Ovis aries: one gene and its partners. The protein of the gene in region 1 binds, or shares a complex with, the protein of each later gene. Links are inferred from orthologs where the notes say so. Each region holds a gene or a part of one and is shown in the gene's direction. Other genes may lie near its edges. The genes, in order: NOD2, MAP3K20, MAP2K3 and PKN1.

What was found.
Region 2: NOD2 (region 1) and MAP3K20 share a complex: the UniProt entries of both Homo sapiens proteins name them as parts of the signaling complex. The link is inferred for Ovis aries from reciprocal best matches to the Homo sapiens genes NOD2 and MAP3K20.
Region 3: NOD2 (region 1) and MAP2K3 share a complex: the UniProt entries of both Homo sapiens proteins name them as parts of the signaling complex. The link is inferred for Ovis aries from reciprocal best matches to the Homo sapiens genes NOD2 and MAP2K3.
Region 4: NOD2 (region 1) and PKN1 share a complex: the UniProt entries of both Homo sapiens proteins name them as parts of the signaling complex. The link is inferred for Ovis aries from reciprocal best matches to the Homo sapiens genes NOD2 and PKN1.

Annotation. Positions count from the first base shown.
Region 1 is NC_056067.1:18,634,247-18,641,434, forward strand, and holds part of NOD2 (nucleotide-binding oligomerization domain-containing protein 2), read left to right. Parts: intron 1-2,493; coding exon 2,494-2,577; intron 2,578-4,582; coding exon 4,583-4,666; intron 4,667-5,731; coding exon 5,732-5,815; intron 5,816-7,188. UniProt on the Homo sapiens protein: Pattern recognition receptor (PRR) that detects bacterial peptidoglycan fragments and other danger signals and plays an important role in gastrointestinal immunity.
Region 2 is NC_056055.1:136,652,949-136,660,136, reverse strand, and holds part of MAP3K20 (mitogen-activated protein kinase kinase kinase 20), read left to right. Parts: intron 1-2,337; coding exon 2,338-2,454; intron 2,455-5,223; coding exon 5,224-5,298; intron 5,299-7,188. UniProt on the Homo sapiens protein: Stress-activated component of a protein kinase signal transduction cascade that promotes programmed cell death in response to various stress, such as ribosomal stress, osmotic shock and ionizing radiation.
Region 3 is NC_056064.1:34,993,593-35,001,505, forward strand, and holds the start of MAP2K3 (dual specificity mitogen-activated protein kinase kinase 3), read left to right. Parts: upstream 1-3,504; 5' UTR 3,505-3,658; coding exon 3,659-3,707; intron 3,708-7,913. UniProt on the Homo sapiens protein: Dual specificity kinase. Is activated by cytokines and environmental stress in vivo. Catalyzes the concomitant phosphorylation of a threonine and a tyrosine residue in the MAP kinase p38.
Region 4 is NC_056058.1:9,645,268-9,653,218, reverse strand, and holds the start of PKN1 (serine/threonine-protein kinase N1), read left to right. Parts: upstream 1-3,890; 5' UTR 3,891-3,904; coding exon 3,905-3,943; exon of another isoform or gene 3,944-4,053; intron 4,054-5,047; coding exon 5,048-5,351; intron 5,352-7,951. UniProt on the Homo sapiens protein: PKC-related serine/threonine-protein kinase involved in various processes such as regulation of the intermediate filaments of the actin cytoskeleton, cell migration, tumor cell invasion and transcription regulation.

The DNA of each region.
Region 1 (7,188 bases):
GTGGGTCCAATGCTGAGCGTCCCTGGTGGCTGACACAGTAAAGAACATGCCTGCAATGCAGGAGACATGGCTCCAGTCCCTGTGTTGGGAATATTTCCTGGAGTAGGAAATTGCTATCTACTCCAGAATTCTTGCCTGGAAAATTCTGTGGACAGAGGAGTCTGCTACAGTCTATGGGATCACAAAGAATTGGACAGGACTGAGCAACTAACACTTCACTTTCTAGTCTGGAAAGGCTGAGTTTCTGCTGCTCCCCACCCTCTCAGCCTCAAGGGGAATCTCTTTCCCATCTGACACCATTGCATCATCCCCCAAGCTGGTCCATGGGTTGGCCCAGCTTCTTTTTCTCTTTGAGATGTTCTTGCCTCCTGGGTTTATGAGGCAGGGTGGTGGTGGTTCATTCGCTAAGCTGTGTCCAACTCTTTGTGACCCCATGGCCTGCAGCACACCAGGCTTGCCTGACCTTCACCATCTCTTGGAGTTTTCTCAAACTCATGTCCATTGAGTCTGTGATGCCATCCAACCATCTCATCCTCTGTCACCCCCTTCTCCTCCTGCCCTCAATTTTTCCCAGCATCAGGGTCTTTTCCAATGAGTTCTTCACATCATGTGGCCAAAGTATTGGAGTTTCAGCTTCAAAGTGAAGAATTGCTTCCATGCATTTGGGGGTGAGCTGCCATTTTAAAATTGTTGACTCCGTCTCGGGCAGGGCCACTGAGGCCAACACCAGAGGCACCATTCTGTACTGAGGACTCTCTTCTGCCTCCACCACCTGCCACCCTCAGCTCAGGAAGCCAAGAGCGGCTGTGGCCAGAGCTGGGCTGGTGCAACCTCCAGGGAGGGCTGTAGGGTAACAAAAGGTACTGCTCCCAGAACTTGAGAGGTCTGTGTTTTGGGTTAGTATAGCATCTCAGTTGAGAGCAGGGCCCTGGAGCCAGACTGACCAAGGTTTGGATCCAGCATCCCTGAGACCTGAATCCTCACAGTGACTTCTGTTTTCTGTGTCTCTGTTTTCCCTTCTATGAAATGGAGAAAGTAATTACAGCTCATAGCTCATAGGTAGTTGTGATGATTAGAAAGTGAAAGTTGCTCAGTCATGTCCAGCTCTTTCTGATGCCATGGACTGTAGTTCATGAAATCCTCCAGGCCAGAATACTGGAGTGGGTAGCCTTTCCTTTCTCTAGATGATCTTCCCAACCCAGGGATCGAACCAGGGTCTCCTGCATTGCAGGCGAATTCTTTACCAGCTGAGCTACCAGGGAATCCCAAGAATACTGGAGTGGGTAGCCTATCCCTTCTCCAGGGGATCTTCCTGACCCAGGAACTGAACCAGAGTCTCCTGCATTGTAGGCAGATTCTTTACCAGCTGAGCTGCCGCGGAAGCCCTGTGACGATTAAACAAGTTAATATACATAGAAAGCTGGCATAGTATCCCAGGTTCTTTCCATAGTGGACTTAGTGCCCTAGAGATGGTGGATAAATCACATAAGTTCTCAGCGTGTTGATCCTGTTTGTCCAGTCCTCCAAGGAAGGATTTGCTGGGGGAAATCCCTATGGGGGGAAATTGGGAAAGGGAGCTGGAGGGGGAGGCTGGGAGAGCCGCAGGTCTGACCGTGAGGGAGAGAGAGAGGGAAGGAAGGTTGTCAGGAGGAAGCATCTTGGACCCCAGTGCAGTTTGGAGAGAAGACAGAGGCTGCTGGGGAGTCCTCCAGCCAGTGTGCCTGACAGAGGAGGCTCAGGTCTCCCAGTCCTGGGCTGGGAGCAGCCCGTGGGAAGCAGGCCTTGGGGCAGAGGGAGCACTGGACTTGCCAGCACAGCAGCTGGGGCCCTTGGTCACCCAGGAAGGTCAGAGGTCTGTCAGCTTAAAGTGAATGAAATTTCTTTGAAAGATGAAACTGGCAGTATTATTCCAGGAAGCCTGGAGCTGTGGGTGAGAGTTCCGGGGACCTCCCTGAAACTCTCTGAGGTGCCCGAATTTTGCCGAAACCCCCTCCTCCGCCCTTGCCTGAAGGCTTAGCAGGATCCCTTTCTTTCTTTCAGCCACCAGAGCGCCACCCCCCAGGCACTTTCAAAACAGGTAGATGCCACCTGCAGCCACCGTGGATGGGGCAGGCTGCGGGAGGAAAGCAGGGTCCAGCGCCCGCCCGCAGTCAGAGGAGAGGGTGGAGGAGTGAGTCACTCTCCCTCCCTGGGGAAGCCACCTCCCTGGACTGTCGTGGTTCCTGCTCCTACCTGTCACAGCGCTTTGCAGAACAGGCCCTTGCATGCCTCTCCCCTTGCTGGTGGAAAATGAAGTCGCAGGAGCATTCAGTGAGCCCCCGAGCTGCAGCAGCACACGCCGCGTCTCCAGCTGGAGCTGGAGGACTGGTCCCTGTTTCTCTGCCTGGGCCACACTCCCTGTGCACCCCCCTCCCCAGGCCCGGGTCTTGGGGCCCAGTAAGGGTCCTCCTGCCCCGCTCTCTGTCTCAGTCTCTCTTCTGTCTTCCCTTCCAGGCTAGGAAACAACCACATCACAGCCGCGGGAGCCGAGGTGCTCGCCCAGGGTCTCAGAACTAACAACTCCTTGCAGTTTTTGGGGTAGGTGGGATTCTAGGGTAGAGGGGCAGCACGCAGGGGTTGAGGGCTTGTGAGGATTTAGGAGCCTGTGAAACCAACTCTTCAGCCCCAAGATCTCCGAGACAACCCCCACCCCCTCACCCCCCCTCCCGCCTCCACCCCCCCTCCTGCCTCCACCCCCAACTCTCGCCTCCACCCCCTGCCCAGGCTGCAATGGGGAGGGAGAGCGTGGGCAGCCCTTGTTGCCTCTGCCTTGCTTTTTGCTCAATAAACAGGAAGCTCAGGATGTCAGGGTTGGGGGAGGGCAGAGCCCAGAGCAGTGGCAGGAAGCCCTCTGGTCCTCCAGAGCGCTGGAGCTGTGTTTCTTACCTTGGTCTATATGTGGGAACCACTGGGCTCCTGAAGAAGGCCACTATCTGCCCCAGGCTAATTAAATGAATTATCTACATGCAAGGTCTGGAATCAGTAATGTAAAAAAGCTTACCAGATGATGTGCAGCCTGGGGTGAGAGCCAAGGAGAGAAGGAAGTGGGGAAGTTTGGACCCTGGACCTTGGATGGGAGGAGGCTGCACCAGGTCCTACAGAGCCCTGGCTTCCTGTGGGGTCATGCCAGGCAGGGGAGAGGGGTCGGACACAGGCGGGAAGGGCAGTCCACAGACCTCCGGGCCCCAAGTGGGGCTTTCTCTGTTTGCTGGGCAGACAGGCTTGTACCTGTCCAGTCCCCTGGAGCTTCTTTCCTGTTCCATCTTGCCCTGGTGTAAACTAGGGTCTATTTGAAAACAAAACAAAACAAAAAAAAAAAAGGGGGGGATTTTAGAACCCAAGACTGTAGGAAGAATGACTTTAGAGCCTAGGTGTTCCAACTCATTTTACAGACAGGCAAGTTGCCCGTGGGCTGTGTTTGAGCCCCGAGTGGGACTGTGTTGCTGGAGAGATAAGACCTTGTCCAAAATGCATTAGTAGCATCACAGAGTCTAGGAGAGGGTGGCCGCGGCCCCCACTGAGCTCCTTCCTTCTTGAGATCACATCTGGGGTGTTTAGCTTTCAACACCTGTTTATGAAGGTACCTGTCTGGTCTTGGTCTTGTGCTAAAACCCTCAAGCACTATCACGTGATACAAACTGTTATGTAACTTGCTTTTTTCTTAACACTGTATTATTATACTGTATTATAACACTGTATTATTTTGTTCATATCACATGACCTCACTTTTAAAAAGAATAGCTGCTCAGTATTCCAGTGGTTTGATGTCGTGATGTGTTTAGTTGGTGTCATGCACACTTTAGGTTGTGGGCAGGTTTTTGCTATTACAGTGTCACACCCTGGAGTGTAGAGTGGTGCTGGCATGGGGCCAGAGCTCAGTAAGTGTTCACCTTATGAGTGAAAGTGCAGTGAGCATCCCAGTCCTCTCTGCCCATGTGGGCACCTCCGGGTCCATCCTCACTTCCCACATGGGAAATGGCCAGGTGCCAAAGTATGAGCTGGGCTCCATCTTTGAAGGGGGTGTTTCCCAATTAGGGTGGGTCTGAGGAGGAGAAGCCAGAAGGTGAAGGAGCTTGAGGCTCCAAAGGAACTGGAGGCTCTGAAGGAACTGGGGATATAACAGAGGAGCAAGAGATGAAGAACTAGTGTTTGGAAGAAGAGTTCGCCTTCTTCTGGGTGGTCCTAGAGATAGCGAGGGACTCCTGGGTGGCAGTGAGCACAAGCAGGTCTAACCCAATGTCGGAAAATGTCACAACTGTGACTTGGCATTGAGAATGAGTCCCCATCCCTGAGAATATGCACTGGGTGGGCCTCTAACTATTTTGAAAGTCTGATTTAAAGAAACCAAAAAGTCTAATTGAAGTTTTTCCATCCCTCCAAAAAGATGGAGGCAGGCTCACTTTGCTGGGACCTGAGTCCCCCTGAGACCTTTCTGGGACTGGGGAGTCCTGCTCCTCTGCCTGGGGCTGCAGAGAGGAGGGGCACGTGTCTTGAACACAAAGCAGGTTCTCACTGACACTGTTTATTCTGTTGAACCTTTCAGGTTCTGGGGCAACCAGGTGGGTGACGAGGGGGCCCAGGCCTTGGCTGCAGCTTTGGGTGATCACCAGAGCTTGAGGTGGCTCAGGTAAGCCTCAGAGTTCGTCCTGCAGTTGGTGGGGGAAGCCAGTGTGAGGAGGGAGGAGCTTGGGCCAGTTTTGAAGGTCTGTGAACTTTATTTTCACCCCACTGTGTTAGATAACGGGATGAGAAGGAAAGAGCACTGGAGTTGAAGTCAGGACACCGGAGTCTTGCTGGGTGACGTTGGATCCCTTTTCCTCTCAGGAGTCTTGATTCCCTGTCTGTACTCAGAAGATCTTGGGCTGGATCAGATAGTTTAGTCGCTCAGTCGTCTCTGACTCTTTGAGATCCCATAGACTGTAGCCCGCCAGGCTCCTCTGACCATGGGGTTCTCCAGGCAAGAACACTGGAATGGGTTGCCATTTCCTCCTCCAGGGGATCTTCCCAACCCAGGGACTGAACCTGGGTCTTCCACATCTTCTGTGTCTCCTGCATTGCAGGCGGATTCTTTATCCACTGAGCCACTGGGGAAGCTCTGGACCAGATACACTTTTTAAAAATCATTGTTTCCTTTAGGCTGTCCTGCGTCTTTGTTGCTTTTCTCTAGTTGTAAAGAGCGGGGGGCTGCTCTCTGGTTGCAGTGCAGGGTTGCTTTCCTCTAGTTGTAAAGGGCGGGGGCTGCTCTCTGGTTGCAGTGTGGGGGCTTCTCTTGTCGTGGAGCACGGGCTCTAGGGCACGCGGGCTCAGTGGTTGCTGCACGTGGGCTCTAGAGCACAGCCTCAATAGTGTCATAAGGGCATATGGGATCTTCCTAGACCAGGCATTGGACCCGTGTCTCCTGCACTGGCCGGTGGAGTCTTTACCACTCAGCCGCCAGGGAAGCCCTGGATCAGCTACACTTTATCTCAAGAGTCAATTCCAGTCTGTTAGTGGGAGCTGCTCAGCAAACCATGTTGGGAAGGATTCTAAAAAACTGCTTCTGGACTTAATGAGAAAGAGCACTGCAAAGGATTAGTCTGAAATGGAGCAGACCAGGACTTGTGGCAATGTGTGCCGTGCATTTTGCCCTCCTTGAGTTATCTTTGAGGTCCCTCACTGCTCTGACATATTTTTGTTTTTTGACTACATCCAGCCTGGTGGGGAACAACATTGGCAGCGTGGGTGCTCAAGCCTTAGCATTGATGTTGGAAAAGAATATGGCCCTGGAAGAACTCTGGTGAGTTTAGGGGATTCATTTCACTAGGGAAGCAGACACCAGCCTTTTTTCATTCTCTGGCCTCATCTGTGGAAGCTGATGTGTGTATAAGACAAAGATGGATGACTGAGTGATTGGGTGATTGTGTTTGTCTTTGTCCTAAGTGGCATGAAGTTTATAGAGCCTGGCTAATTCTTTTCATTGAATTTTTCAAGCCAGTATGATTGGTCTGTTGGTTTGTGAGCTTCCTCCATGGCATATAATAGTTCAGAGCACAGACTCTGGAGTCCAGCAGGCTGAGCTTCAAGTCCTGCTGTGATCTTAAGCAAGCTAAGTAACAGTATCTGAATCTCAGGTTTCTTACCTGTAAAATAAGAGTATGGATGCTTTCAACTATTACATACTTTTGTGAGAATTTAATGAGATAACACCTGTAAGTAGCTTTGTATAGTGTCTGGCATATGTGTAAGTGCTCCATAAATGTGAAATTGTAATAGGATAGTGTCTCAATGGACATGAACTTGAGCAAACCCCAGGAGATAGTGAAGGACAGGGAAGCCTGACATGCTGTAGTTCATGGGGTCGTAGAGAGTCAGACCTGACTTAGCAACTGAACAACAGCAAATATTTCTACGACTGTTGCTGCTACTACTACAATGATTGCTGTTGCTACTGCTCCTAGTGTTTTGCTGTTTCAAGGCGAATGTGAGTGCCTAAGAACCCCGGATATGAGAGTCAGGGTCATGGGCAAGGTGGAATAGTTTGGGGGAGGTTAAAAGATGAACCATGAATCATATTTATCCTGATTCCAAGCTTTCCACCCTTTAGATGCCACTAGTCTAGCCTTCTTATGACATACTCTGGGCAGTTCCAAATTGTATCAAGGAGATAAAATGCTGAATGTTTGATTTTTTTTCCAGGAAGCATAAAGATACTGAAACCTATTGAGCATTGCCACAAAATGGATATTGCTGATGGTTCTTGACTGTCAGTAGGGTTCACTAGCTCAGCCAATGTACCATTGAGTATATCCTGATTAGGCTCCACAGCTTGGAAATCCTTGTTAGAGAATTGCCCCACTGTGAATGTATTGGTTATGACTACATTAGGCTGTATGAGATGGAAAACCTCCATCTAAAGTAACTAAAATCAAAAAAAATGTACATGCAGTTTGGAGGTAGGCAGCATACGGCTGCTATGGCATCTACATATGCCCAGCAGGAATCTGGACTCTCTCTCATTTTGATCTGTTACATCCTCAGCATGTGGCTTTGTTCTCATGGTTAGTTGCCTCATGGTTACAAGGTGGCTGCTGCAGCACCTGCAGCACTCCTGTATTTCAGTTTCAGCCTCTGTATCTAGGAAGGGCAAAAGCTTGGCTCTCTACGTTTCAA
Region 2 (7,188 bases), on another chromosome or scaffold:
TCTTTGTTCCTGTTCTTCCATTAATAATTGTGTCTGAGCTTGCTCAGGGAACATTCCAAGTCTGCTGGTGTGAAAGCATATTGTGGTTTCGGGGTGTAAGGTACTTAGTACATTATCCTTAATCTCTCAGAAGCCTTTTATTATCTGATAACATAAGAGAGAAGATAAATTTATGATCCAGGGGTCAAATTTGGTGCACAGACATGAATTTCTTTTTCCTTTTAATTGCATACATAGTGTTTGTCCCCCAACATTTTTATTGCTGCATTTTTCTAAAAGCAAAGTTGAAAAAATGGTATAGAAATTCTTGCATACTCACCTCCTAGATGAAAACAGAAGCATTTTATTCTACTTGTTTTGTTACATCTCTCTATCCTTTGCCATCTATCAATCCTTATTTTTTGATGCATTTTAAAGTAACATGTAGATATCAGTATATTTTCTCCTAAGGCACACATGTTAAGTATACACACTTAAGTTTTAACAAATGCATACACCTTTATAACCCAGCTCAGCTTCCCTGGTGGCTCAGTGGTAAAGAATTCACCTGCCAATGCAGGAGATGCAGTTTCTAAGCCTGGGTCATGAAGATCCCCTGGAGAAGGAAATGGCAACCCACTCCAGTATTCTTCCCTGGAGAATCCCATGGACAGAGGAGCCTGGTGGGCTACAGTCCAGGGGGTCGCAAAGAGTCAGTCACAACTTAATGACTAAGCAACAATATAATCCAAACTCCTATCAGTAGAGCATTAGCATCCTTGGACACTCCCCTCATGTGTCTTCCAAGTCAACTGCCATCTGCAGAAAGCAACCACTTTTCTGAATATTTTCCACTGTAGGTTGGTTTTGTCTATTCTAGAAATTCATGTAAATTGAAGCCTTAAGTTAAGGTGAAGTCGCTCAGTCGTGTCTGACTCTTTGCGACCCCGTGGACTGTAACCTACTAGGCTTCTCCGTCCATGAGATTCTCCAAGCAAGAATACTGGAGTGGATTGCCATTTCCTTCTCCAGGGGATCTTCCCAACCCAGGGACTGAACCCGGGTCTTCTGCATTAGAGGCAGACGCTTTAACCTCTGAGCTACCAGGGAAGCCCCAGTTTGTTCTTTTTCTTATACAAGATTTCACTCACTGTAATGCTTTTGTGATTTATCCATGTTGTTGCATGTATCAATAATTCATTCCTTTGTATTGCTAAGTAATATCCCACTCTATGAAAATATCACAGTCCATCCATTCTCCTGTTGATCAACACTTGGCCTGTTTCCAGTTTTCTTTAGCTATTATGATACAGCTGCTCAGAAGAATACCATACAAGTCTTTTTTCATTTCACTTGGGTAAATACTTGGAGTAGAATTTGTGAGTCATAGAGTACATATATGGTTAGTTATGTAATAAATTGCCAAAACTTTTCCAACAGTGATTTTTACCATTTACACTCCCACCAACAATCCAATAGCTCCAACTCACAACCAACATTTGATGTTCTCAGTCTTAGCCACCTGGTAAATGTATAGTGGGATTTCATTATGATTTTAATTTACATTCCCCTGGTGATTAATGCTGTAGAGCACTTTTTCATTACATCATCGTTTTACTGAAAATTTAATTAATGTACTAATATTTTAAAAACCAAGAGGTTTCTTATAAGAATCAGATATCCAACTTTTTATGAAACGTTTAAGGACCTGTCAAGACTAGGCTCATATTCCCACATGGGAAAAATCAACAGAAGATGAGCGGTGGCTGCCCCTTTAGGGCAGTTACCCTTTAGATCCCCAGAGAGTCGAACCCTTCCCCTAATGCCTAACCCAATGGTTGGGCTAATTATCCATTGCCATATAGCCTCACATTTCCTGTTAAGAAGAAATGAAGCTATTTCTTGAATCTGTGTCATTATTAATACTGGGAAAGTGAAAGGTAGATCAAGAGAGTCTTATATTTCAAAATAGTGGGAAGACCACATTGCTTTGTGTCAGTGGGGAAATATCCCTACAATGTTTAGCATGTAAATTAAATGGGTCTATTTTGAAAGGTTACAATTTAAGGCTCTTAGCTGCCTGCCTTACTCATTTTTATCTGCCTGGCCCCTTTAAGGTGTGGAGTTTGCAACTCCTATTATAGAACACTTAGAAGAGGTAAATGGCGTCTCAAGACTGCCCCGCCTGGGGGTTATTTATGTATAGAATGAGATCTAATTTCACATTCTTTTACTGATAAGGGGGAAAAAATTCCAATAATACTTCATTGAGAATACTTCATGTGTTATAAAACATTGAGATTTTTTTAAAAAACTGCTTTACTTTCTCAAATTCTATAATTTTTCTTTTAATTCCAGGACTGTAAGTGGAAAATGTATATGGAGATGGATGGGGATGAAATTGCAATAACCTACATCAAAGATGTGACTTTCAACACTAACCTACCTGATGCAGAGATTTTAAAGATGACAAAGGTAGGGTTCTATTTACGGCTTAAAAGCTTTTTTGAATTCACAGATATCAAACAAAGACATTAAAATACCCCAGTGGTATGCTTTTGTGCTCATGATGTTCATACCAGCTCAGCTTCAAGCTGGCTGTTGAAAGGCACATTTTATTTAGCAGATTGAGATCATAATAGTTTTTTGTTAAAATTCCACTTATGCTGTGTGAACCAAAAAGTACTACAGAAAAGTGTCGTTTAATTTTTTTTTTAACTTTCTTCTACATTTCTTTAGGCATATTCTGTCATTTATGAAAGAAAAGAAAATGCTAATGATGAAAATATTTACCTTGAATTTTTGGGTCATGTTAAACTTTAAAAAACTTGTCAGGAGAAAGATTTCTTGAATTTCTGGAAGTACTGGGATGAGATTATTCAAAAGGCACATATTGCAGTCTTCATGGTTTCCTTGAATTCACCCCTGTGAATTCCTGGAGTGACCGGACAGTATCTTACTACTGTGAGGTCAATAGTAGAAGCACACCCATTAAAACGCTAAAGACAGACTTAGAGAAATGCTTAGCTTCTCTTCAAAATAATCATACTGAAAACATACATATAAGACTTCAATTGTAGAAGGTCAACCACTCAGGTAAATAACCACGATGTCAACAGGACAGTTACCCTAAACGTCACAGAAGGCATGAACTCTACTACACGATTGATTGCGTATTTGGTTTTAGGGAAGAAAATGAGGCTGGCAGCAACAAGCCAGGGTGCAGACAAAAAGAGGGAAGTGAAAAGAGCCTTCAAATCCCCAGCATTAGACTTGCAAATGTGTTCCCTTCCCAGGCACGAGATTGCTAACCACCCAAGTGTAAAGAATCCGCCTGCAATGAAGGAGACCAGGGTTCAATCCCCGGGTTGGGAAGATCCCCTGGAGAAGGAAATGGCAACCCACTCCAGTATTCTTGCCTGGAGAATTCCATGGACAGAGGACCTGGCGGGCTATAGTCCATGGAGTGGCAAAGGAGTCAAACATGACTGAGCAACTAACACTTTCACTTTTAATTTACAAGCATATGCAGGTAGATTGACTTGATATTCTTTGTTGGATTGCCCCTGTGTACTAAAAGTTATGTTAGTTATCTGTAAAGGTTATGATCTGCTTTCACCTTTCCCTTATTCCGTTGGGACAGACTATGTTTTGGTGTCTGGGAGCCTGGACACACACATACTTTCTCTTTCCTCCCCACCTGTGCTGTCTCTGGTTGCCGCCGGTTGTTTGTGGCTTCACTGTCACTGAGAAGCAAGTCACTGCCTGCTAACGGAAGGAAGTCACTCAGAGCAAAAATAACAGGGTGGAGTTATAAAACTAACATAGGTGTTTCTGCTCTAAGGCTATATATGCATTCCAGGGGAACTGTATCTTCTGCAAAATCATGCACCAACATTAACAAGGCTTATGGGGAAAAATAGGACTGGGCTGGACCATTCAAAATCTGTAGGACTTTTCAGCATCAATGGAAACAATAAAAAATCCTAATTAAGGAAAGAAAAAAATACCAAGGTTGATTCTTGTCCCAGGAGAGACTAGAATTTGGCTCCACACCTAGACAAATTTTGTCACTAACTCTTGCCTCCCATCTGTTCCTCTAAGGGCCCATAGTCTTTCCTAAAAATCAGTTTCTCTCCTCCAAGGGGCCTATGTCTCCCTCTTCCCTTTCCTCTATAAACATGGCATTGAATCCTGAATTCTTTGAATTACTCATTTTTCCCTGGGTATTTCCCGTGTATACATGAGGTATAAATGCTAATAAACTTCTCTTTGTTTTCTCATCTTAAAAAAAAAAAAAAATCTCAGTTAAATCTCTACCAAATTTGCTTTGTACCCATCTCATGGTCAGCCAGTCATTTGCAACCTTAAATCTGGAATGACAGGCTGGGGGGTGGGAAGAAAGTATGGAGATTCACCTCTAATAAAGACCACTTTCATCTCACTTAAAATAGGACCCAAAGCATAGGCTTTCTTCATTACTCATTTATCTCAATGTAGTGGGGAATGACCCACCCACCCCCAGTTTCACTGCGCCCACAATGTTGCTGGGTATCCTGATATAACCAGAAAGCAGAGTGGTTATGAAACCTCTAAACCAGCCACTGCCTGCACTCAGAAAAAGCACTTTAGGGTCTTCTTAGATTGTTAAGGATTTTTCTTAATTGTGAAAAAGCTTTCTGAGAAGTCTTCCAGATACAATCATGAGTTAATGATCTAATGATACAACTGAGAGATGCATGAGAAAAGAGAAGATTGTGGGAGACAAGATTAGCTGTTTACAAACATATACAAGGATGTCTTATGAAAACCAAACCCCCAAAGATCAGACATTAGCATGTTGTGAGTAATCACATGGGAACCAACAGGGCTTTTCTAATAATCTGACATCATGGCGTCCATGATAGCCTGACATCACACCCTACTTACCAACTGTGTACAGCATGACTGGCCTCCAAGAAACCTACGCTGTAGCAGGGCAGGCTGTATTAAAGCAGTTGTTGTTGCTGTTTAGTCTCAATGTCTGACCTCTGTGATCCCATGGATTGTAGCCCGCCAGGCTCCTCTGTCCATGAGATTTCCTAGGCAAGAAGACTGGAGTGAGTATCCATTTCCTTCTCCAGGGGATCTTCCCGACCCAGGGATTGAACCTGTGTCTCCTGCATTGCAGGCTGCTGCTTTACTGCTGCGCCATCAGGAAAGCCCGTACTATAGCACTACACCTTTCTAACTTCTGTTTTTCAGCCCCCATTTGTAATGGAGAAGTGGATTGTAGGAATAATGGAAAATCAGACTGTAGAATGCACTGTCACATATGAGGTAAGCCTGGGTAAAGGGTAGGGGAGAGGGGGCAAGGCCGTTGGCTTCACCATCAGTTTCTCCAAAGGGGTTTTTATTTGCTGCCTCAGGGTGTTTAGCGTTTATTGGAAGAGAAGCTATTTAACCAACATGAATATAGGGAGATCAATATAATTATTCTAACAAAGTAATGAAAGGAATGAGAACAGGGTGCTTACCTAGAGATTGAAGGAGTAATTCATTAATCAGTTAATCATTGAGCACCTTCTGAATACAAATGGATGCGTGTGTGACATACTAGGGATATGGAACAATGAGTGCAGGCAGTGGCTGGTTTAGAGGTTTCATAGCCACTCTGCTTTCTGGTTGTATCAGGATACCCAGCAACATTGTGGGCGCAGTGAAACTGGGGGTGGGTGGGTCATTCCCCACTACATTAAGATAAATGAGTAATGAAGAAAGCCTATGCTTCGGGTCCCAAACAAAGCTCTGCCTTCTTGGTGCTTCGAGTTTAACGGTGAGGGTAGATCAGTGAGTGAGTCTTCACAAGGACAGGGTACAACTTCTATTACTACCATCAAAACCAGATTCCATATATTTAATATATGAAAAAAATTGAAAGATGTACAAACAAATATTTTAGAAATATTGGTTTAGAGAAACAATATATTTGTTTTAGAAAAACAATGTTTGTTTTAGAAAAACAAATATTTTAGAAATAGGTGCTATTAAAACTAAAATTCATATATTTAGCAAGTACCTACCAACAGGTACCATTCTGTGATTTGTTTGTTTAGTCACTAAGTCATGTCTGACTCTTTGTGACCCCATGGACTGCAGCACACCAGGCTCCTCTGTCCTCTACTGTCTCACAGAGTTTGCTCAAATTCACGTCCATTGAATAGGTGATGCTATCATTCTGTGATTAGGGTGGACTAAATCTAAATCTATACTCTCTCAAGGTTTATATATACTCCAGTGGAGGGTGATAGATAATTAATTAGTAATGTCAGAGTGCTAAGTGAGAATCACAAAATAGTGAGACTTGGGGCATTAGAAAATAGTGAGACTCGGGGCATTAGATTCAGTGGTCAGGGAAGACCCCTCTTCTCAGTGTGAGGCAGCAGGGAACAGCAGAGGAAGGGCAAGTACAAGTCTGAAGCACAGAGGACATGACAAGGCTAGAGAGGTGGGCGGGACCGAGCATAGTGCCTCCTGGGGCCGAGGTGAGGAGTTTGGACTCACTGTAAACACCATGGTGGCTGTTCTAAGTATTCTGTTGCTTTAAATGATCTAATTATGCTTTTGAAAAGAGCAACATCTTCATGGTGGTGGAACAATCTGCTTCACAAGGTAGAGAAACCCTAGTTTTCTCTACCTGGGAATGGAATGGAGGGAAATAGTTACAGCAGTCTTGGCACATATGGAGACATGGTTAGTATGCATGTAGTTAGTATGCAGCTACCCTCAGTAGGACATGCCTTTCATTCATTCACTCCCTTATTCATCTAAGAAACATTTAGCAAGGATTTACCATGACCTAGACACTGTAAGAGGAACTTACACCTGTGTTATTTCAGTAACCTTGTGCAAATACTCAAAGATAAGGACCACTGGCTTCATATGGCAACTAGGGAAAACCGGCTCAGAGAAATGAAGGGTAATCCCAAGGTTTGGGGGGTTAGTGAGAATCCGTGGGGTCACCAAGTTCCTCTGAGTGTGAATAGTTTCCAGCCTTCCTTGGCTGTTCTAGCCATTCCCTTCCCAACAGCAAGAGGAGGGAAGTCAGCCTCGAATGGACTCCATATGCTGCTGCGTAGGGATGGTCTTCTGAGCTGCCACGGATTAGCATTTTAACACGAGAAGTCCAAAGCCTGGCCAGTCCACTTATTCAGGATGACCCGATATTGG
Region 3 (7,913 bases), on another chromosome or scaffold:
TTCTAGCCAGAAAGAACTCAGCCCCCACCTTGGAGCAGCTCAATTCTGCTGGAGATGCAGGTGGGGTTGCAGCCACTGGCAGAGCTGGGGTCCCTCGGGGGCAGTGTCAGGGAGAGCCTCCCCTCCCTGTTTCAGAACTGGGCCTTGAGGGGTAGGAATGAGTCAGGTGGAAAAGGCAGGAAAGGGCATTCCCAGCTAAGGGAACAGCCTTTGCAAAGGAAGGTTCAGGGAGGAGAGCTGGGGCTGGGAGTGGCTGGGGCTGGGAGACCCCTGGGGAGGTTCTCTGATGAGCGTCAGAGCGTTCTTGGCTAGCCCTGTTTTGTAAGGCTCTCTGGCTGCTGCGGAGGAACTGGGGGCAGGAAGCACGGGGAGGGGGCAGAAGAGGTCCTGGCAGTGCCCAGGGCTCCACAGAGTGACCAGCTGAGGTCCAGCCACCATGCCAGGACTGGCCACCAGAGGGCACTGTGGGCGCAAGCTGAGGATGCCCTGCTGCATCAGGGCTGTGTGTTCGTGCGTGCGTGCGTGCGTGCGTGTGTGTGAGTGTGTGTATGCGAGTGTGGATAGTGAGTGCGGATAGTGTCTGTGAACGTGCCTGAGCCTGAGTGGCCGCTCCGCGGACAGGTAGACGCTTGTGCATCCCGCTGTACTCACGACTGTATGCATGTGTATCTGGGGCGTGTGCACTTGCGAGTGGGAGGGGGCCGAGGGCGTGAGTGAGCAGGGCGCCTGCCTCTAGGCCTTTGCACACGCCGTTCCCTTCCCTGGGGTGCTCTTCCCTCCCCTCCCTCCCCTCCTGAAGCTGCAGTGAGGCTCTTCCCCCGTCTCTAAAATCACAGCCCCGCCCCCAGAGGCCCGCCGGTCTCTTCCTTCCTTTACCGGGAACACATCCCCTGGCGATTATAATCTAATTTGGCCATTTCGCTTGTGGGGTTCCCTCAAGAGTCACCTCCCAGAGGGCCGCCATCCTGGGCTCAGCCATCCTCTCTCCAGCCCCACCCCCCACCCTGAACCCACCTCCAGGCCCACATCCTGATCTGGCTACACCCCTTTCTCTGAGTCCACATGGAAGGGTGTTGGGGACTTATTTTCTGCTACAGGCACCCTGTCCAAAGTCCCTCCTGGCTTCTGAGTGGTCGGGGAGACCCAGCTTTGCTGTGCTGCTTAGAGGCAGAGGGAGGCCAACAGCCATGGCTGCAACCAGGGAGCTCTGCGTCCAAGCTGGGCTCTCACAGGCGGTCCCCTGCACAGCTCCAACCCTCTGTTTCTGGCTTCTCTACCTGATGAGCTCCTCCTGGTTTTTAAAGGCCCAGTCTCAAAGTCACCTCCTCTGAGGAGCTTTCCTGACCTCACCCAGGTGGAGTCTGGCACCTTGTTCACATGTCTATTTATAGCAGCCCACAGGGAGTTTTGTGATTCTCCAGCTGTATGTCAGGCTCCCTGACTAAGCGTCACCTCCTGCAATGGCAGGCCTCGTCTGAGTCATAGGTGCCATAGGAGCAGGCTGGGTTGGGACAGGAGTTGCTTCCAGTGTCTGCGGCATGCTTTCCATGCTTCCTTTGTTCATTCCTCACATATTTTTTAGGCACCTACTATGTGGAACAGGGTTGTGCAACATAGCATAACATGTCCACAACCCTGGGCTGTGCAACAGGAGTGCTGCAGAGAGCAAGTTGGCAAGATTCCTGCCCAGGATGGTCTGACGGTCCAGAGGAAATAGGAAAGGTGTTGGTGGCGTCAGTGCTGTGCAGAGGAATACAACTGATTTGGGTGCATGGCCAGAAGGCCTCTTAAGGTAGTTCATTTAAGAGGATACCTGCAGGGGACTTCCCTGGTGGCCCTGTGGTTAAGACTTCACCTTCCACTGCAGGGGGTCAAGTGTTCAACCCCTGGTTGGGGTGCTAAGATCCCATATGCCTCCCAGCTAAAAAACCAACAGGTAAAACAGAAGCAATATTGTAACAAATTCAATAAAGACTTTAAAAATGGATCCCATCAAAAAATCTTAAAAAAAAAAAAAAAAAAAGAGGAGGCCTACGGGATGAAAGGGACCAGCTCCAGGAATCATGGTGGAAGGCTGGGGGGAAAAGATGTATCAGGCTGAGGGAACAGCAGAGGCGCAGGCCTCATGGTAGGACCGGTATTCGTGGGTACAAGGGGCAGCACTGAGAACCCGCTAACAGTGCGGGGGGAGCACAAGTCCCAGCGGTTGGCAGGGGCCTGAATCCAGGAAACCTACCGGACCAGGCTTGCAGTCTTGGTGGGGAGGTGTCTGTGCTGTTGCCCATTTTCCAGGTGGGTAAGCAGCAGGTCCAAAGGTCACAAGACCCATTTGGGACCAAGTGCTCTGGGCCACTCCAGACACCCAGGAGTGGTGAGCCCGGGTCAGTTTCCCATAGGAAGTTCACAAACACTTGCTGGGCATCTAGTGAGTGCCAGGCCCTAAGCCAGGCACTTGTGAGCTCACACTCATGAACCCATTTCAGAGAGGTTGCCCTGTCCCTGTAGCACAGGTATGTCAGCAGGCATGGAGATGCTCAGCACCCACCTTTGAGTGGCACGGTTGGCATTTGAACTCATAACCTGCTGAGTCCATAGCTCCTGTCTTTCTGCCCACGCCCCGGGTGCAGGAGGAAATAATGATAATAAGGAGGCCTCACCTTATCTCATCGGGCCTCCTCATCACTGTGAGGGTGGGCCCTATGGCCACCTCATCTTACAAACGAGAAGGCTTCAAGCCTTTCTAGGAGGTGGTGGAATCTGCTTCCCTCACGTGAGGTGCCTGGCAGGTGACACACTCTCGCCCACGTTAAGCGAGGGACTGACCTCGTGACCTCTGCTAGACTGTTCATTCTAGTGACCTGGTCCCAGTGCCAGATTGGTGAGTGGCTCTTGAAATCCCCCAGGCTCCACGTGGGAGCAGGAGAGAGGGCTGGTCCGTCCGGAATGAATAGTCAACAAACACCTTCTGAGTGTCTGCGGAAGCCTGGGTCCCTTCCTTTCAGCAGCGCCCGGAGGCGGGGACGCGGAAACAGGCTCCGGGGTGACACGACTTGCCCAGGTCAGCCTGGCCAGGAAGTAGTCAAAGCGGGATGTGATCTCGACCCCACCAGGGGGCGGGCGCACTTTGACGCCCGCAGCACCCACTTTTCCGCTCCCCGGGCCGCAGCTGGGCGGGCCTGGGGTACCCACGGTTTCTGGGCACTGCAGCCTGCGCACCCGGGGCGGGCCCGGGAGTGGGCTGGGCTGGTTTCCTGACCGGCAGCGGGAAGGACCCGCCCGAGCCCCGAGGGGCGGGGCCTGACGGGTTTCCCGGTGAGGGGCGGGCTTGATAGTCTGTGGGAGGAGCCGCGCCCCGAGCCAATGGAGGGTGAGGCTTGAGTTTGACGGGCAGGCCCCGGATTGCGTTTGATAGGCAGGGGCCGGGCCCGGAGACTGGAGGGCCAATGGGTTCGCGGGGCGGGGCCTACGTCGGCGCAGTCCGGCTGGGGCCCTGCCGCACTGCCCAGTCTGGCCCCGCCGCCTGCCGCGGACACGTCCCTGTTGCCGCCCTGCCCGCCGCCCGGGCCGTCCGCCTGCCTGTAGCCATGAGCGCACTCCGCCCGGGCCGAGCCCGCCACCCCCTGGACTAGTTCTGCCGCCGCCCGGACCCGCCCGCACCATGGAGTCTACTGCCCCGAGCCCGCCCGCCGGCGTGCCCACGTCCAAAGGTAGGAACGCCCGGGCTGCGGACCCGACCTCTGCGCGGTCTCCTGGCCGGGCCCGCACCCGGGCAGCTTCCCGGCCTGGAACCCCTCCCTGATCGGTCTCGGGCCCAGCCCGAACTCTGGCGAAGGTTTCGTTCTGATCACCCCACACCGGGTCAGAAACCTTGCTTGGACCTCCCCATTTGGGCCTTAACTGCAGCATGGGCAGGAATGAACACTCCCAGTCTGGGTCCCTCAGTTGGGTCCCAGGTGGGATTCACTCCCATCTTGCACCCAGCCGCGCTCCACTCCTGCGTCCCAGGGCTGTATGCTGGCTGGGGTTTAACTGCCCTTCTGGGGATCTCTCTGTAAACGCCTCCTCCCATGTGGGTGTCCTGGCTACAGTCCAGCTCAGATCTCCCCTACCTCTCCCCCAAGGCTCTCCATCCTAGTAGGCCCCACCATGGCCCCATTCCTGGCCGTCCTTCAGCCCTGTCTCGGTGAGGGGGAACCTCTCTTGGCCTCCCATCACACCTTACTGCATGGCCTCTCCACTGGCTCTGCTCATCTGGACTTGCAGGCTTCTCTCTGCACCAGGGGAGCTCACCTCCTCTTGTGCAGGGTTGATTGCTACCAGGTCTGTCCCCGCTGTCTGTGGGTCCAGGGCCAACTGCCGGGCGGTTGCTGGCTATGCAATGGTCTTGCTTTTGTCTTCTCCAAGCAGCCGGCCTTCTTGGAAATTTTTGTGAGGTGGCGGCTGCGGCAGCAGGATTTGTCATGCAGAGGGGGAGGACGAGACTTGGAGGGTGAGAGGGGGATTTTTTTTTTTTTTGGCAGGAAAAGGAAAGGATGTTTTTGGCATGTCAGAGTCTCAGAGGGCTGGACTTTGTGAGAGATTTCCAAACCGGACGCATCAGTAATGAATGGGCTGCCCCCGCCTCCCTAACCTGCTGCTTCACGCCAGCAGCAAGAGTGTCCTTATCACACCTACCTTCCGTGGACTTCAGGCGTAGGATGTGAGATAGTGAATACTAAAGAGTTCTAGGCAATTGTGGGTGATGATGATGAGAAGCCTTAGCAGACAGTCTGACTGTGTTACTGTTACCATTTTTCTTGCTGGAAAGGCCCCAGCCATGTGGGATCCAGGCCTTGCCTCTCCTGGATTGTAGCTGCAGAGTGAGGAGGAGAAAGGTAACAGCTGGCCCTTAGGGACCCTAATCAGGGGTTACCCCTGCCTCTCTGGGTGGGGCCGGGGTGGTAGCTGGAGCGCTTGTGGGGTCACAGGGCGGGTGCGGGTCCTCCTTCCCTGCTGCTGCTCCTGGTGGCTGCAGTGGCTGTGGACCCGAGCCCAGCAGGCCAGGTGGAGGGTAATTAAGTCTTAACCTAAGTGGGAGGCTGGGTCCCTGACTGCTGCCTAGCTACTGTGAGTACACGGCAGGGACTTGCACCGCGCCGACCTCGTGGAGCTTGGGAACCGGGAAATCAGACATTTCTCTTCCCCAGCTCCAGGTTTAGGCCTAGCCTGGCCAGGCTGTGAGACCTCAGGCAGGTCCATCAACCACTCTGGGCCACAGGGTTTTCGTGGGCAGAAAGAAGAGATTCAAAGCAGTGTTTGTTTTTGAAGTCCCTTTCTGCTCCTCATCAAAATAAAAATTAAAGTTGCAAGGTTTGGAAGGGAGAGTAGTCAGGCGTATGAAGGAATAAAGCACTTTGGGGCAACACTCATATGCTGTGTGACTTGAGCCCTGGTATTGTCTTCTCTGAGCCTCTCAGCAGAGAGAGGGCCAGGATGAGTTTCCAGTTTCTGGGTCTGGATAACAGATGATGTTGAGTGGGTTGGATGGAGGGTCAGGGGTCTACTCAAGGCCCAGGGACACCCTTAACCTCTTTGGGGTTTGTGGCAACACGTGGCAGGGAAGCCACAATGCCTTCCCCCGAAAATCCCAAACTTTTCCCATGTGCCATGCATTCACCCATGTATGGTTCACAGCCTCATTCACAGACAAGAAAGCTGAGGCTCAGAGGTTTTCAGTGCCTTGCCTGAGGTCACACAGCTGTGGCAGATGGAGGCGGGGTTCTAGTACTCAGTGCCCAGTGCTCCCCTGTGTCCCTTTTCTGTGCTGGGTGCTTGGGCTGAGCTGGTGGGACACTTCCCCTTCCCCCATCACACCTCTGTCCAGAAGCATCTCCTTGAGTCCATGCCTGACCTGGAGGATGGCCTGAGCCAGAGATGGTGCCTTATGTGTGCATAACCCTTTACAGCTGGCACACTTCATGCTCACTGCAGTGAGGCCCATTTGACAGGTGACAAAACTGAGGTCAGACAGGAGGAGTGGCTCGACCTAGCCCCTCCCATAGTGATGTCCTCCTTCACGCCTTCTTGAGGAATTTGGACCAAGCAGGGTGTGGTTGGCACCTGACCTTAGGGAACTTTACCTCTGAGCTTCCTGCCCTGCAGGGGTGCCCTGCCCTGCCTTCCCTGCCCCTGGCCTGGGGAGTTTCCAAGAGTGCATGAGGCCCCAGGCCCCATAGCCCTGATATTTTCCCAGGCCCCCTTGCCCACAGGCCATCTCTGCCCGGGGTCAGAGGCTGAAAGCAGCCAGGGTCAGAGGGCATAGCACAGTCTGGGTCTGCTGCTTCCAGCCACATTTGTCCTTGGGGTGCCCCCAGCTGCACTGTGAGTGCTGACCCCATGGGCACTTCCTGGTTGATCCTCCTGCTGCCCCCTGGGCACACTGAGGCTGCAGGCGCACAGTGTCCTGGCCTTTCCTGCCATGTGGCTGCCCTCCCCTACCCGTCCTGTCCCTGGCTCTTGGAAAGATTGGAAGGTGGCATCTTGGGGACTTTCCCCACCCCTGGCATGACGCACAGGAAACTGTCTATCAGCCAGCCTGTGGCTCAGGGCCTGAAGGGAGCAAAGTTCTCAGCCACTTGTGCGGGGAGAGGGCCGGGGCAGCGGGAGGCTTCCGGCGGGTGAGTCAGCGGGCACTGGGCACTGACTCACTCTTGGGGCATGCCAGCCTGCCGGCTGCAGCTTAAAGGGCCAATGCCTGGCTGCTGGTGGGTGGGAGAGGGGCTGAGTCCCCACCTCATGGGCCGGCCTCTGGTCCTGGGCTGGGCGTGGAGGCAGCCCCCTCCCTGGACCTGGTACGGGGTGGCTCCAGACCCCTGCTCCTGGCCCCTCGCCCATCCCCCCAGGAACTTCCTCTTGCTCATGGAGCTGGAGCAGGTGGTGGTGACTGTTTGCCGCCTTCGGCCCAGGGGCTCCTCCTGCTCAGATGTGCAGCTGGGGGCTCCAGGCTGCAGAGGAGCAGAGGTGCCTTGAACTCCCACAGAGATGAAGACTCTGGTCAGATCCCAGCCCAACCCCTCCACTGTAATGTTGGACGTCCACTGCCCGCTGTAATGCTTTCAGTCCTCTGGCATTGCCCAGCTCTCAGATGCAAGGCCTCAGCTTCTTCACCTGCAGAATGGGTATGGGAGCCCTGCATGCTGGCAGCTGTGAGGATGTGTGTAGACAGCCTCATCCCCCTCGCTAGTACCAGGTACAGGGACAGCAGAGACTGCCCTCTGTCTACGAGGAACCTCAGTGAGACAGGAAGGGGGGCAGAGCCTGGGCTCAGGGGTGGATGGGCCTGTGTTCAAATTCTGACTCGCTCCATTGCTTCCCAGCTTCCTCAAGTGCCCTCTCTGACCCTTAGTCTCCTCTTCTGCAAAGTGAGAGTAACCAACCCCCCATCTCAGAGTGGTGGTAAAGGTGGGAGATAGTGTTTGTCAAACAAATGTCATCTGTTATTTTCTCGTTGTTATGGTGGTGGCAGTTGTTCGTTGGTGGATGAACAAACAGAACAGGGACCTTGATGGTGGACTTTAAGCCCTATGACACGACTCTGGCTGCAGCTGGCACCTGCCAGGCTCTGGTCCCCACACTGGAGCCGGGAGCTTCATGGCCTTTTGGGCCCTCCTGGGGAGGGCTCGTGGGGAGCAGAGAGAATGGGATGGTTGCCTCCCCCACAGTGTGGGGCATGTGGGGCCAGGAGTCAGGAGAGTGGGAACCTCCTAGGCCAGCTGCTCAGTGGGCAGAGCCCCTTCAGGGCCAGGCAGGGCACTTGTTGTGGGTATGCAGGGTTGGGTGAGGACTGTCTTGACCAGGGAGCACCCTGGCTGGAGAAAAGGAGGCGGTGGGGGAGTGATTCTGAAGGTCCAGCTTCAAGGTTTGCCACGGAGCTG
Region 4 (7,951 bases), on another chromosome or scaffold:
GGTCCAGGGAGGTCCAAAGGCCTCCACCGCTCCCTGCTTTAACGTGGCTCCCTCTTTTTCTCTGGGTTCCCGTGCGCTCAATCGGGTGACCCGTGGGAAAAGGGAGAAATCCGAAAGAAGGAAAGACGAGCGAAACCGACCCGGCAGCTTCCGCTCCGGGGGGGGGCGCACGAGCAGCCGGGACCCCGTAGCCCCGGGGGCCGCCGGGAGCCCCGCCCCCTCGGCCCCGCCCCCTCCCCAGGCGCCGACCTCGGTGGTCACGTGACCGGGCCCGGCGGCCGCTGGGGCCGGAGGGCGCGGCGCGCGGACTCGGCGGCCAGGCCAGGCGCTGCCCGAGCCGAGCAGGCCGGAGCCGGCCCTGCGCCTTGCGGGGGGCGTCGCGCCGCGCCCGCCCCCCGCCCCGCCCCGCGCGGGGCGCACGCGCGCTCCTCTCAGCGCCCCTCCCTCCGCGCGGGGATCCCTGGCGGGCTGCGTGTGGACATGGCCAGCGACGCTGTGCAGGTAGGCGCACCTGCGTTCGCAGCCGCCCAGCGGCCAGCCGGCGCTGGGGACCCCCGCCCGCGCACCGCCGGCGCTCCCGGGATCGGGGCGGCCAGGGCGGGTCCCCACCTCCCCCGAGCGCTAGGCGCCCCCTCCCAGGGCCAGCACCGTGGAGCCAGCGCAGTCTCCTCGGCAGGTGGAGGTACGCACGGGGGAGCGTGGGGGAGCGAGGGGAGTCCTACAACATCCCCAGCTCCGCCCTTCTCTGAGAATTAGAGGGGGCGCAGCGGAGGCTCGACTTCGGGTGTCTGTGGCTAGCTGGGCATCCCGGTGCCAGTCGACCCTGCCGCTCGCTCCCTCTCCTCAGCGTTCGGTTCCCCGGCAGGTGCCGCTCCACCTGAGCAGGTGCCTGGCGCGATGCCCCGGGAAGGGCGCAGGCCATTCGCCCCGTTTCTCCCACCCTCCCCCACGCACAACAAAGCTCCGGCGGCGGCACCCCCACCTCCGGACTGAGCTTTACGATGGTCGCGACGCTGCAGATTGGCACCTGTTGGCGGAAGTGCCAGAGTCACCTCTTTAGGTCTGGGGACCAGGGACCCACACAGCCAGCCACTCGGCTGCCAGGTGGAACCTTATCCCAGGATTCCGGGTGGGGAGTGTCCATGTCAATGAACTGGGGATTCTCTTACCTGGAATCCTGCCTGGACTGGGTCACCCCACAACCCACACATCAACACACACAGAGGCACAGGTGACTGACACCGAAGTGCCACCCACCCAGGTTCTCCCTGTGCCACCTTGTGGACATCGCAGCCTGGGACTCACCTGCCCTGCCTGTGGTAAGCAGGGCCAGAATGACTGCTGAAACCTCTCTGGGTCAGTGACCCAAATCTGAGACATGTCCTGTACCTCCGGTGCCCCCACAGTGCCTCATCAGCTCTCCATCGTCCTGTGGTTGCTGTGTAACTGGGTTCTCATCTCCTTCTGCACCTGCCCCCACATCCCCTTTGTGTCTCCCCCGTGACCCCCTGTCCCCCGCCCCAGTCCTGCTGATGGCCTGCCAGCCTTGCCGAGGAGCTGGGCGTATCTGGTGTTGCCGATCACACAAGGTCAGACCTTGGGGGCTGGGGAGGGCCTGGGTCCCTGCCTCTACCCCATCAGCCCTGGGAGGACAGTGTAGGACTCCGCTGGCACATGCATGCGTTTGGCATGTAGCAGACATGGCCTGGACGGAGACTGTGATTCCTGGACCGAGGCTGGACCTGCGCCCTGGTCCCCTTTCCCGTCTCCTGCCTGCTCTCTTCCCCCTACCCCACCCCACCACCACCCTCACCCCGTCCTAGTCATTCCTCTCTCTCTCGTGGCTGCTTGGGTCTGCTACCCCTGTCCCTCTGTCTGTCCCAGTGTGTGTGCCTGTCTGTTCTGTGTCCGGCAAACGGATGTCCTGTCCGGATTCCAGAAACGCCCAATGCATTGAAATCTCCGGACATGGGGTCTAGATCCCTGGTCACTCTAGGAAGAGGGAATTTCTGAGAAGTGGACCCTCTGGACCTGGGGCAGGGGAGGTGTTTTCTGCTTCTTGGAGGGTGTTGGGGATTCCCCAAGGCCAGGCCAGGCTCCTGATTCATGGGTTCATCTCGTTGGCCCTCAGGTGACCCCTGCCCTGGATAGGAGTGAGTCATCCAAGGAAGGAGAACCCGGGAGGCCCAGCCTCCCTCTCTCCCTCCTTTGCATATTCTCATCCCTCAGCTGCTGGAGGAGGTGGGGCTGAGGGATTCTGCTCCTCCCCCCAAACCCGGACTCCCCTCATTCAAGCTGGCCCCGCTCCTGGCTGCACCGCTGCTCTGCCTGCTGGGGACAGGGTGGGGCTGGGTGGCCGGTGGGACCTGGTTGATAGCAGGTGGTAGGAGGTGACCCTGGGTGTAAATTCCAGAGCTGCCACTTCGTCACAGTGTGTCCTAGGCCCAGCGCCATTCCCTCTTTGAGCCTTGGTTTCTGCCGTCAAAATTGAAAAAAAAAAAAAAATGTAGCCAAGAGAGTTTTCACGGTGAGGAAGGACGTAGACCAGGTCAGCCCCTTGCAGGTAGGGCTGCTGTGAAATCCTTACCAGTGGTCATGGCCAGCAGCTCAGGGTGTGAGTCTGTGTCCTTTAATCCAGGGTTTCTAAAGCTCAGCACTATTGACATTTGGGGCTGAATCATTCTTGGAGGTGGAGGCTCTCGTGTTTACAGTGGAATGTCAAGCAGTTTCCATGAACTCAACCCCATAGAGCCTAGTAGCAGCCCCAGTTATGACAACCAACCCAGAATGGCTCTGGATATTGCCAGCTGCCCCCAGAAGTGAGGTGGGAGTGTTGGCAATCCCCTCCGCCATTGAGAACTGCTGCTGCCATCCCTCTGAGGCTCAGTCTCCTCACCTGTAAAGTAGGAGGGGAAATATGGCAGCTGCTCAGGATAAAATTGAGGGGTCAGTAGGATCATGGGAGTGACACTTTAGGCCTGAAGTAAATCTTCTCTGGGGGCAGCTGCCCTTGAAGTTGATCGAGAGTGAACCCTGACTTTCCTCATCTCTGAAATGGGGTCTCACCGTGGCGGCAGATAATATATGCGGGGCTCTTCCTGCCTGGCTGACAACTAGCTCTGATTCTGGGCACTCTTGTTGGAAATCTTAGTTCTGTCTCCTGCTGGCTATGAGGCTTTGGGCAAGTTAGGTCACCGCCCCAGGCCTCGGTTTCCTCATCTGGAAAACGGAGTGATAGTAGCACCTCCTGGAATGGCGTTAGTTGACCTGGTGTGCAGCTTGTAGTAACCTCCATGGTTCTTAATCATACTTGAGCTTAAGTGGAGACACTGGTACTCCAGCCCTGCAGAGCTGTCTCCTCATGATGTGGGCCTCAGGGAGGTACCGCAGGGCCGGCCGGGCCCCCAGGCCTCCAAGCTGTGGTCAGCAGCAGCAGGCAACCAAGCTGAGAAGAAGCCGGAAGTTGGGACAGGAAAGGGGCTGGCCCGCCCATGTAAGCACTTGTGGGTGTTGGTGTATATAAGTATATACAGGGGGTGGGGGGTGGGCACACACTGGCCAGCCTGTGATGCCTGTAGGTGTATAAGTGTGTTGTAGGGAAGCTATATGTGGGGAAGGCTGTTCTTCATGTCCACACTAGCGGGCCCGTGTGTGTGTGCCTGCTGCGTACACCTTGGGCATCCTCAGGACAGGGAGCAGAGGGGCCACCCCTGGGATGACCCCAGAGAAGCAGGCTCAGCCCTCGAGTGGGGGCTGAGAGGAAGGTGCTCTTGATGCCCCAGAGCCCCAGAGCTGGCCTTCGCAGGGGTTGCTGGGAGCCAGCAGGAAAGAGGAAGTAGCAGGCGAGAGGCCCTGGCAGGGCTGAGGTTCAGGAAGAGGGCGGGGCCCTCAGCCGGGGCCCAGGATGGCGGAGGCTGATCCCCCTTTGGACCCGGAGCTGGAGGTGGGGGCTGGGGTCCTTGTGGGGGAGGGGCAGCAGAAGAGGACCCCAAGTGGCACAGGCCGGAGGGGCCCTGCCCTCGGTACCGCTTGGTTTTGGACTGAGGAGAGGAGGTGGGATGCTGGCTTTGGAGTTTTCTGTTTGAAAGATGAAACTGTTTGGGGCCCTTTGAGCTTCCAGGTTGGGGGGATAGAGGAGGAAGGGAACAGTGCTCTTTTCTTTGGGGTCCCAGTTGTAGATGACAAAAGGAGGGGAGATGGCGCTTGGCCCCCGGATCTCCAAGTTAGGGGGTACAGCAGGGAACAGACAAAACCTGTCTCCAGGCCCTCCTGGTTTGGGGTTACCGCAGGGAATAGACAAGGCCTGGCCCTGGGTCCTCCTAGTTTGGGGTTACAGCAGGGAATAGATGAGGCCTGTCCCTAGGTCCTCCTAGTTCAAGGGTACAGCCAAGAGGAGAAGGAACTTGCTCTTGGAACCCCAACCTTGTGGTCTGGGGGGCATCACAGGCCTGCCCTTGATACTTCCTCATTTGGGGAGCAGCAGAAGGAAGATGAAAGCTGCCCTCAGGCCCTCCTAACGTGGGGCATAAGGGAGCAGAGATGGGGCCTGCCTTTGGGACCTCCTAGTTTAGGGGGGCAGCAGAGGGGAGAGGGGGTCTCCCCTCAGGACCTGGTCATTTGGGGGCAACAGAGGGAGACAAAGCCTGTTCTTGGGCCCCCCTAATTTGGGAGGACAGTGGAAGGAGAGCTAGGGCCTGACCTTGGGGACCCCGAGCTGTGGGGACCCAGTGATGGGGCAATGGAATCTGCCCTGCAGGATCCCACTGCATGAGGACAGTGAGGGAAGACTGAAGTGTACCTGTGGTCCTCTTGTCTGAGGTGACAGGCAAGGAGAAGGCCCTGCCCTTGGGACCTCACAGTTTGGAGGTGTCAGGAAGCAGGCACAGGGCCTTGTCTCACCTCCCAGTTTTGGGGGACTGTCGGAGGACATGGAGCAGGGCCTGTGTCAGTAGTCCCCCCCCAGGAGGAGGCCGGGCCAGGTCAGCTGAATGTGGTCTGCACTGCCAGAGCCGCTCTGGCCCCACTGACCCTGCTCCGTCCCCCGCAGAGTGAGCCACGCAGCTGGTCCCTGCTGGAGCAGCTGGGCCTGGCAGGTGCCGACCTGGCAGCCCCTGGGGTACAGCAGCAGCTGGAGCTGGAGCGGGAGCGTCTGCGGCGGGAGATCCGTAAGGAGCTGAAGCTGAAGGAGGGTGCAGAGAACCTGCGGCGAGCCACCACTGACCTGGGCCGTAACCTCGGTCCCGTGGAGCTGGTGCTGCGCGGCTCCTCACGCAGGCTTGACCTGCTGCACCAGCAGCTGCAGGAGCTGCATGCCCACGTGGTGCTGCCCGACCCCGCGGTGGGCGTGCACGGTAAGCCAGGCTTCCCTGGGCTGGGGGGTGGGGGATGCGGGACTGGGGGCCTCCACTGCCCAGGGCTCACCCACTGTGTCCCAGGGTGCGGCCGGCCAGCCCATTGCCACTGCCTCCCAGGGAGACACACTCGGTCACGGCAGCTTCCAACCTGAAAATGCAGGTGGCTGCTATCACTGCTGACAAGTGCTCAGTCGTGTCCAACTCTGTGTGACCCTGCGGACTGTGGCCCGCCAGGCTCCTCTGTCCAGTGGAATTCCCCAGGCAAGAATACTGGAGTGGATTGCCATTTCCTTCGCCAGGGCATCTTCACGACCCAGGACTGAACCTGCATCTCTTGCGTCTGCTGCATTGGCAGGCGGATTCTTTACCAGTAGTGCCACCTGGGAGGCCCCAATACAGGCAGACAAAAGGCCCAAACCAACACTCAGGGAAAGGTACACACAGTCACACCCACAGCTGGGCAACACCAAAGGCTTACACGGTATCACACCAATATCCAGACTCACAGTCACACCCACACCCGGACAACACCAAAGGGCTTACACGGTATCACACCAATATCCAGAGTCACAGTCACACCCACATCTGGACAACACCAAAGGGCTTACACGGTATCACACCAATATCCAGAGTCACAGTCACACCCACACCTGGACAACACCAAAGGGTTTACACGGTATCACACAAATATCCACAGTCACAGTCACAATCACACCCACACCTAGACAACACCTATAGGCTCCAACTGATTAAAAAATTTTTTTAATTGTGATTAAAAAAACACAACACCTGAGAGTATAACAGCGTTGTTAGTTGGCTGTTGTTACTGCTTCCGTTTAGACCCCATGTTTGTGACCCCATGGACTGCAGCCTGCTAGGCCCCTCTGTCCATGGGATTTTTCAGCAAGAAGACTGGAGTAGGTTGCCATTTCTTTCTCCAGGGTATCTTCCCAACCCAGGGATTGAACCTGCATCTCCTGCTTAACAGGCAGATTCTTTACCACTGAGCCACCAGGGAAGTCCCTTAATCACCTATATTCCAATATAAAATAAAACGTTTTGGAAAAAAACACATTACAGAAAACGTATCATTTTTAAGCATACAGCTCAGTGGTGTTGAGTATTTTCACATTTTTGTGCAAGGAATCTGCAGAACTTTTTCATCTTACAACTAAAAGATGTAACACACATCACATCAGTAGCCAGAGACCCTCACACACAGTCACGCCAGCACCCAGACTACTCTGAGGGCCCACCCTGTGGCTCAGCGGTACAGAATCTGCCTGCAGTGCAGGAGATGTGGGTTCGATCCCTGGGTCGAGAAGATCCCCCAGAGAAGGGAATGGCAACCCGCTCCAGTATTCTTGGCCTGGGAAATCTCATGGACAGAGGAGCCTGGCCGTCTACGCTCCATGGGTTGCTAAACAGTCGGACGTGACTGAGTGACTAAACAGTAGCAGCATTATTCTGTGAATACCCAGAGACGTCCATACTGCCAGCCAGTGCCCAGATAAATGCATACGCAATCACACCAACACACACACAAAACCTGAGGACTCACACACGCTCACAGCAACACCCAGAGATTCAGACACACAGAGCCGCTGCCACAGGAGTTTACCAACCCATAAACAGCCTGATACTTAACACAGTCAACTGGACAAGACCTGAGACTCAGCATCACTTAGCCCAACACCCACACACCTCTTTGGTGTGTCAATAGCTGGAGGCTAACACTATCAGACGGAGAAGGCAATGGCACCCCACTCCAGTACTCTTGCCTGGAAAATCCTATGGATGGAGGAGCCTGGTAGGCTGCAGTCCATGAGGTCGCTAAGAGTCGGACACGACTGAGCGACTTCACTTTCACTTTTCACTTTCATGCCTTGGAGAAGGCAATGGCAACCCACTCCAGTGTTCTTGCCTGGAGAATCCCAGGGACGGAGGAGCCTGGTGGGCTGCCGTCTGTGGGGTCGCACAGAGTTGGACACGACTGAAGCAACTTAGCAGCAGCAGCAACACTATTGGATCAACACTTGAAGATAATGAAAGAGTTCAGCCAACGCTCAAAACCTCATCCTGTCACAGCTGTACCCAGAGTGCCTCTGATGGTCATACCACTCTCTGGAGATTGACACAGAGCTGTCCAGAGACATACATGTCCAGCTGTTCCAGCACTCGGATGCTGTCACACCAGCGCCAGGAGATCTGAATGCTCAGTTCTGCTGACAGTTGCAGACGTGCACAGAGCCATCCCCATCACCCAGAATCTCACAGAGGCATTCTAACACCTCACATCTCACAGTTACACTGGCACCTGGGGAGACACACTCAGTTATGCCAGCACCCTGAAGGTCACAGACTTAACCACAGCCACACCCGCTGACGCCTACACAGCCTTGCACATCTTTGGGGTGTATATACCTTCTCTACAAAGGTATACACGATCACACCAACGACTAACACACACCTGTGTTCATTCACACTGGTCCTGCCCCAGCCCTGAAAGGGTTTCCCTATGAGGGCTGGTGGGGAGTGGACCCTGTGGCCCCCAGCTCTTCCTCCTCACAGGCCTGGGGTGGATCCTCTCAGCTGGC